Rattus norvegicus: one gene and its partner. Each later gene encodes a partner of the first gene's protein in a complex. Links are inferred from orthologs where the notes say so. Each region holds a gene or a part of one and is shown in the gene's direction. Other genes may lie near its edges.

Region 1 (4,262 bases):
TTTTTTTAAATCTCACTGTCCTTTTTTAAGAAGCCAGAGTGGGGCTGGGCATTGAAAGCTCCCAGCTCACATCTGTAGTCCCAGTAGTTGGGAGGCTGAGGCAGGAGTTTGTAGCCTAGAGTTGGTTCAGTTTTTTTTTTTTTTTTTTTTTTTCCGGAGCTGGGGACCGAACCCAGAGCCTTGCGCTTGCTAGGCAAGCACTCTACCGCTGAGCTAAATCCCCAACGAGTTGGTTCAGTTTATGGCAATCTTTTTATTTTTTTAAAGATTTATTTATTTTATTTATATGTTAGTACATTGTAGTTCTCTTCAGACACTTCAGAAGAGAGCATCCCATTACAGATGGTTGTGAGCCACCATGTGGTTGCTGGGAATTGAACTTAGGACCTCTGGAAGAGCAGTCAGTGCTCTTAACCGCTGAACCATCTCTCCAGCCCCCAGTTTATGGCAATCTTACTCCTTTAGTTGCTGAGTTCTGGGATTACAGTATGTCCAGTGCCATTCACGTCTGACCTAGTGTTTCTAACATAGTAAGGGTCATTAATGCACCCCCAAATCTGACTTTTGTGTTAGCTAAACAGAACATGTTTGCAGGACAGTCTTGGCACACAAACCGCCAACCAGCAGTCTCTAAGGCTGATAAACAGTATTTATAGGTTGATTTCATTGACTCACACGATAAACATACCAGGGGTTTTCACTGCAGGTTGGGTGACACAGGTTTTGAAATTTGCCTAGTTCTTGTCTCCATTTTACACATTAAAAAAGATGAAATTTGAGCCACCAAATAACTTAACCATGATCACAGGTTGGCAAATGAGTGGGATTTGAGTTAAGTTTGTTTCCATAACCCAACGTTATGACTCAGAGAATGCAGAGGCTGTGGTCAAGGTTGAATGCATCTATTTATCCTGAAGGAAAGGTCAGCAAAGAAACAGAGGGGGACAAGTCAGTCGGAGAAAATCATCCAAGGATCGAACCCAGAGGTTTAAAAAAAAAAAAAAAACAAGAGAAGGTTTTCAGATGAAGGGTCAGCTCTTGTTCACGCTGTGTAGAGCGCTTGCCTGACATTCATAAACCCTAATTTTAATCTCTAGAAAACTCTCCAAAGACAAAAAAAAGGAAGATAGGAAGGAAGAAAGAAAAGAAAGAGGAAGAAGTAAAGTAAGAGAAGGAAAGGAAGGGAGAGGGAAGTGCCTGAACGGCAGCACAGTTATTAAAACGGCGACAGATGACTACAAGTTCCAGAGAGCGACGCGCCTATTTTCCCGCCAGCGCCTCGGCCGGCCTTGTGAGAACTTCAAATCCCGGCATGCCCCGGGGCGCACCGGTCCTCGCCCCTCGTCGGTCCCGCCCCCTTTCCCCACAGCCCCCGCCCGCCGGGTTGGCCTCGGAGAGTTTGTCCGGTGGCCGTGGTAAACGGAGGTGCAGTAAGAACCCCGGCGGCAGCACGATGGGCGACTCCAAAGTGAAAGTGGCGGTACGGGTCCGGCCAATGAACCGACGAGGTGAGAACTTGTCCCGGGCCGGGGGCGACAGGTGCCTGTAGTGGTAGAGCCTTGGCGTCCCGGGGGTCTCGGCGGGCTCCCCTCAGCGCGCGTGCGCCCTCGACGGCGCGGTCGGGCCCTCAGCCCTCCGCCCCGCCAGCTGTCACCGAGCTCGGCAGGCCTGGGGCAGCTCCGGCCTCACAGCCTCCTGTACACGCAGCTCTTAGGGCGGACAGCCCTACTTTTCGATTTTCCACGTTCCATTCCTTGAACCTGCACCTTGTTGCTGTTTGCAGAAAAGGAAGGACGTGCCTTCCTAATTCTTTCTGGTTTATGATTATCGAGAGCTAGCTTTCTTTCTTTCTTTTTTTCTTTTTCTTGAAGTGATAGTCATCTCAACAATAAATAGTCTCGGTGCCAAGATTCTTGGGAAATTGTATCTTTCAGACATGCTCTGAAGTCTGTAGGGAGGGTAGAGAAAGTAGATAAACTCAGGACACGTAAATCATCTCTCCAAGTTGGAAGGACTGAAGCCCAACTTGTGTCCGGAGAGTAGCTGGTTTTTGCCTTTGCAGCTTCACCAGAGGGTGACTGTGTAGGATACTTAAAATGAGGTGATGTGTTTGAAAACACTTTATATACAAGTCTTGTTATTGAGGTGCTGCTGGGCTCCCAGGGGATGGAATTGCAGTTAGTTGATTTAGACTACTGACTAGCTAGAATTGTTTTCTAGGGTTTCTAGTTTGTTTTACTGTGTTTAAAGTCAAGTGTGTAGGAAATAGTTTTTCTGTTTCCCTGCCCTTTGGCGTATATATGGAGGTAAACAGGTGGGACAGTTGACAAAAGATTTTTCTGGTTGGTTGTTCTGTGGGAAAGCTGGTTTCTCTGTTTTCTTGGCGTTGGTTTGCCTACCTGAACGTGCTTAAGTCTATGAGGCATGTTTTTCCCTGAAGACTTAACTTTTTAAGCTCTCAGCTAATTGCCTCCTTGCATCCAGGTTATCACAAAACAGAGTGAGTATCTTAGAAGTCCGAAAGTTTTCAACTCTTCCATTTTCGAGTGTCCAGACATCTTTATTTTGGATCACTTCAAGCTCATTGTGATCATTACTGCGATTAAAAAACAAAAGAGAACAGCCAAGTGAAATCCGACTTATCTGGGACTGATTCGGAAAGGATGGGTTCAGCACATTCTTAAAATTTCCTTTTTGCAAAATACTTGGAAATGTCAGTGCTGAAGGAGGCCTCTAGCCAGCCACCACAGCAGGGCTTGGCACAGATAGTTAGAGCCCAACTCTTCCTTGTTTTCTCTCACTGGGAGGAAGCTACTGCCTTTAATTTGCTATGCTTGTAATTCTTAACAGTGGCTGTTACTATGCTCAGAGTTTCGAGACATTCATTGAATGATTTTAGCTATAGAGTACATGTTAGCTGTTCCTTACATTGAACATTGTCTTCCTTCTTCTCTCCTTCTCTCCTTCCTTTTTTTTTTTTTTGAGACTGGGTCTCCCTACATAGCCCTGGCTGCCCTGGAACTCAGCATGTAGACCAGGCTGGCCTCAAATTCACAGAAATCCACCTGCCTCTGCCCAGATCTTTAGTGCTGGTATTAAAGGCATTCACCACAATGCCTGGCACTTCTTTCTTTCTAAAACAGTGCTAAGGATTGGAACACTGGTCCTCACCTGCATTTTATCCACCGAACCATCTGAGTTCAGCCAGCCAGCCAGGCATCTCCCCAGTCCTGTTTTTCCCCACTTATTTATTTTGAGGTAGTGTCCTCGTGTAGACCAGGGTGGCCTGGAACTTGCAGTCATCTTCCTGCCTCAGCCTCCTGAGTGCATTGCGGGGATGCACCAACCACTGCTGACTGAACTCACTTTAAAATGAATGTTTACAGTTTGGTTCCACTGTTCAGTGACAACTGCCCCCTAGTCTCTTTGCTTCCTCTATCTTGTGTCTCTAGTGTTCATCACAGATCATTTCTTCATCTACAGGTTATTACGAAATTTAATAGCGAGGAACCTTAAAGCTTGTTATTTCTAAGTTGGCATCTTGAATTCCCATGAAAAGGCAGTAACAAAATTGAGCTGCTTTTTGCTGAGTTTGAAAAGAACCCTATTTAAACATTACCTCTTCCGAGGAAAGTGGTATTGTGATAGCATGTGGCTGTCAAGTAGTTGGGTCTAGTTCTGGGTGCTCCTGACTTAGTGTGTGTGTGAGGATTGACATGGTCACTGGGTTGTACTTCCCATCATAGACTCTGTTGTTTGAATGATGTTTGTGTCTTTTGAGGAGTCTGAAGGTTTCCAGAACTCTTCAGTGTAGGGTTCAGTTCTTTGTGTGACTTAGTGGCTGGTTGTGTTTAAGGGGCTTCAGCATTTCTGCTCAACTGTCTGCGGCGGTGGGAACTTAATTGAATATCAAGGGGTAGTTCCTAATTTAATGATAGCTAGAGTTGTAGTGGCTAATTTGTCAAGATAAAGAGAGGGAGGGAGGGAGAAAAGAGAGAGAGAGAGTGAGAGAGAGAGAGAGAGAGAGAGAGTGTGTGTGTGTGTGTGTCTGTGTGTGTGTGTGTCTGTGTGTGTGTGTGTCTGTGTGTCTGTGTCTGTCGGTCTGTAATCTTAGAACTTGGTGGAGGCAGGCAGAAGGATCTCAGTTTGAGGTGAGTCTGGGCTGCGTACATAGTAAAATTTGCTTTTTTTTAGCTAACCAACTAACCTTCCTTCTTCCTGGCCTCTGTTTTTCACCTTTTTTCTTTTGGTGATACTGGAGA
Region 2 (3,802 bases), on another chromosome or scaffold:
TCCTGGATCACAAGCTCCAGACGCACAGGCAAGCAAGAATTGCGTCAGGACAGGACTAAGAACACGAAGGGTTGCAGATCAGGGGAAGTTTTTACCCAGATACCAAGTGTCGTTTAGTCTCCATCACCCAAGGAAGTAGAAATTTACCTTTCAACTACGGACCAGGAATCTGGGGTGGTTAGAAAGGTTAAGTAACTTGCCTGAGGCTGCACAGCTCGCACAGCAGGTGTACTGCTAGCCTCCTTGTTTGGAGCCTGGTGCTGTCCGGGATTCCCACTAGCCTTCCTTCACAGGCTAAGGAGCCTAAGGCTGTCATGAAGATTGAGCACCTGAATGCCACCTTCCAGCCAGCCAAGATCGGCCACCCCCATGGCCTGCAGGTCACCTACTTGAAGGACAACAGCACTCGCAACATCTTTATCTACCATGAGGATGGCAAGGTGACCTGGGCTGGGCTGGGAACGGTGAACAGTAGCTAGGATCCTGGGGGTCTTGGTAGGCACCACTGTTGGTGGGGAGGGCGAGGCAGTCCACCCCATGGAGGGGCACTAATTCAGTCCTCTGTGCTGCAGCTATCTCTGTATGGGCAGAAGGATAGCCCAGGCAAACACTAGAGCCTATATACTTTCAGTGTGTGTGTGTGTGTGTGTGTGTGTGTGTGTGTGTGTGTGTGTGTGTGTTGGCGTGTGTGTTGCTAAAAGGCCAGGGAAGCTGGAGTTTGGGCTGATCCCTTGGGAAGTTGCCACATGTCTGGTTTGGGCACCATTTGATGGGAAGTTTAATGGTCTCCCACACTCCTGTTCCCCTGTGCCCTCAGGATGTCTTGACTCACGTTGTGTTCAGGGTCTGTGTCCTGTGACTACATAAGACACTAGTGGGATCCAAGCCTCTCTATCCAGTACACGGTCTCAGGATAAACAGACATGTTTGCCTGTAGGGCCAGTGTCCACCCCAGCTCCAGGACTGTCTGGACATCTAGGGACATGGATGGGCTGTTTTGGGCCTCACCTCTTCCTTCCCTGCCTTAATCCAGTCTACGCTGCTTTCTGCTGTGTAACACACCCTGCAGTAGCTTTCTGAGAAGACGTGCCTGGGAGGTGAATGGTCTGAGACTCCCCCCACACGTCTCTCTCTCTCTCTCTCTCTCTCTCTCTCTCTCTCTCTCTCTCTCTCCCTCCCTCTCCCTCTCTCTCTCTCTCTCTCTCTCTCCCTCTCTCTCCCTCTCTTCCTCTCTCCCTTTCTCCCTCCCCCTCTTTTTCTCCTACCCTCCTCTCCCCCCCCCCCCTGGAATTTGACCTCTTGCTCACTGCACTTTTCCCAGCTTGGACCTCTGCTTTCTCATCTAGTGACTCCCGTCCACAAGGCCCGTGGCTATTTTCCTTAATGACTTCTTCCCTCTCTTCTTTCTGGAAGCTTTGGCCTGCAGATGTTATGCTGAGATTTCTCTAACTCATTTATCTTCCTTTGCGCTTCTTTTTCATTCCTTTGGAGTTTTTTGGCATGCCTTTGTGGCACATGTGTGTGTGTGTGTGTGTGTGTGTGTGTGTGTGTGTGTGTGTGTGTGTGTGTTTGTTTTGTTTTTTTCATGTGTGTGGGTACACGGATTTGCAGTCGTGCATGCATTTGTGTGGTGGTGGCCCAAGCTTCATGCTGGGGGTCTTTCTGAATCACTCACCACTTAACTCGTTGAGGAAGGTTCTCTTAGTGGAACCCAGGCTCTCAGCCTGCTTGCCCTGGGGATTATAGAGAAGCCACCTGCAGGCCCCGAGGGACCTAGACGGGCCCAGTTGGGCACATATACATTTCATCTCATGTGCAGCTGGCATGTTGCTCTCCCAGGGCTCCTACCCACTCATGCCAGCTCATCTACTAGCTAGCTTTCAGCCCATGGCTGTTCTCTGTGTCTTGTGGATTTGGATTTTTTTTTTTTTTTTATGAGCACACTGTAGCTGTCTTCAGACAAACCAGAAGAGGGCATCAGATCTCATTACAGATGGTTGTGAGCCACCATGTGGTTGCTGGGAATTGAACTCAGGACCTCTGGAAGAGCAGTCAGTGCTCTTAACCGCTGAACCATCTCCCCAGTCCCCTGAATTTGGGTTTTTAATAAACATCTCTCAAGCATGGGCGGGACATAGTGGCACTTGTTTTTGATTCTAGCTCTTCAGGGCTGGGGAAGCAGAGGCAGGCAGATCTCTATGAGTTTATAGGGCACCCTAGTGGCCAGCCAGGGATACACAGGAAGAAGCTGTCTAACGGGGAAGAGGGTGTCTCAAGCGATGTTAGCTGTTTCCAGAAAGATCTGGCTCAGGGTGTGAGAGGAATCATTTCACCCCAGGCCTCCAACTTCGTGTTTTGTTTTTTTTTTTTCTTTTTTCTTTTTTTCGGAGCTGGGGACCGAACCCAGGGCCTTGCGCTTGCTAGGCAAGTGCTCTACCACTGAGCTAAATCCCCAACACCCAGCTTCGTGTTTTTTAGGAGGACATGAGAGACCTCCTGTTTCTAAGACACTAAGCTCTTCCACAGTGGGGATCCCAGCATGCCTTCTGCTCTCCAAGAACAGCTGTGGTGGGCCACAAGGGTGACATGCTTCACCCTTGAGCACTCTGGGGGAGGGCACAGACATCAGTGGGATAGAAACCACTAGGGGGCACGTGATGGGGAAGATAATGTTCCGGAGAGCACAGGGAGTGTGCAAAGGCCCTGGGGCAGGAGGAAGTGGGATCCCACCCGGGTACAGGTTCTAGAATACTGTGGAGAGTGTCAAGTCCCAGGTCTCACAGCCTTGTGTGTGTGTATGTGTACAGCGTGTGTAAGTGCAGGCACACACATGCCACTTGCTGCATGTGGGTGTCAGGGGACAACCTTGGGTATCGGTCCTCACCTTCTATCCCATTTGAGATGGGGGTCTCTTTGTCTCTCACCACTGCGCATGCCAGTGGGATTACACTGCATGCAGTGGGAGGCCCTTGCACTGGGACTACAGATGTCTGTTTCTACTGCAGCTGGCTTTACATGGGTTCCAGGGATTCAGATTCAGTTCTAAATGCTTTTGCAGACAGCGCCTTACCTTCCGAGCCATCTGCCTAGTTCTACTTTTTTTAATTTTCATTTTTTTTTTTTTTAGACACGAGGTTTCCCACTGGCCTGGATTTAAGTGGTTAAACTAAGTTGGCTGGGTATCAAGTCCCAGGGGATCCTCCTGTCTCCCCCTCCCCAGTGCTGCGATTACAAACTCATGCCCCCACACCAGGCTCTGGGGTATATGTTCTATACCTCACATTTGCAAAGTACATGTCTTACCGACTCAACCAACATCCTAGCCCAGAACCCAATCTGAACTGGGATGGGAGAGCGGTGGGAGGAACCTGGGGCTTGGTAGGGTAGGTGGGAACAATGGATAGGCTCAAGGCTAAGTTCCTAGTGCCCTGGGTCACCCGTAGGGAGAAAGCTGCATTCTCAGAGCCAAGGGTTTGTAAGGGTTGATGCTGGGGTAAGCGTGAGCCATTGCAAACAGCATGAAGGGGATCAGCCACAGGAGGCTTCAGGTCTGTCCCACAACTCAGGGAGGGCAAGAGAGAGGGGAGACTAGGATGGAGAGGTTCAACCAACTTCTTCTGCAGGTGGAGGGATGGGACCAAAGAGGAAGTGGGTAGGACCAGTTGTGAGTGGGAACATGTGCGGCAGCGGTAGTGTCCTAGGCTGCAGAGGAGAAGCCCAAATAGGCCATGCCCAGGGAAGAGAGGCTGGCGACAAATGCTGGGTGTTGGCATTCAGGTGTTGGCAGTGATGTGGATTTTAC

The links. The genes of interacting proteins can lie anywhere in the genome.
Region 2: the proteins of Kif13b (region 1) and Adap1 are in contact, whole or in part, in a crystal structure (PDB 3MDB), measured with the Homo sapiens proteins. The link is inferred for Rattus norvegicus from reciprocal best matches to the Homo sapiens genes KIF13B and ADAP1. Residues at the interface, in NP_056069.2 of Homo sapiens: Val451, Asn452, Leu453, Asn454, Ala455, Asp456, Pro457, Leu463, Arg512, Phe514, Asn516, Gly517, Arg531, Leu533, Asn536, Asn537, Phe539; in NP_006860.2 of Homo sapiens: Trp137, Asn143, Gly144, Gln145, Phe146, Leu147, Pro186, Ala187, Lys188, Ile189, Gly190, His191, Pro192, His193, Tyr211, Glu213.

Annotation. Positions count from the first base shown.
Region 1 is NC_086033.1:43,082,667-43,086,928, forward strand, and holds the start of Kif13b (kinesin-like protein KIF13B), read left to right. Parts: upstream 1-1,392; 5' UTR 1,393-1,453; coding exon 1,454-1,508; intron 1,509-4,262. UniProt on the Homo sapiens protein: Involved in reorganization of the cortical cytoskeleton. Regulates axon formation by promoting the formation of extra axons. May be functionally important for the intracellular trafficking of MAGUKs and associated protein complexes.
Region 2 is NC_086030.1:20,483,025-20,486,826, forward strand, and holds part of Adap1 (arf-GAP with dual PH domain-containing protein 1), read left to right. Parts: intron 1-293; coding exon 294-440; intron 441-3,802. UniProt on the Homo sapiens protein: GTPase-activating protein for the ADP ribosylation factor family. Binds phosphatidylinositol 3,4,5-trisphosphate (PtdInsP3) and inositol 1,3,4,5-tetrakisphosphate (InsP4). Regulates the incorporation of CD63 and CD9 into multivesicular bodies.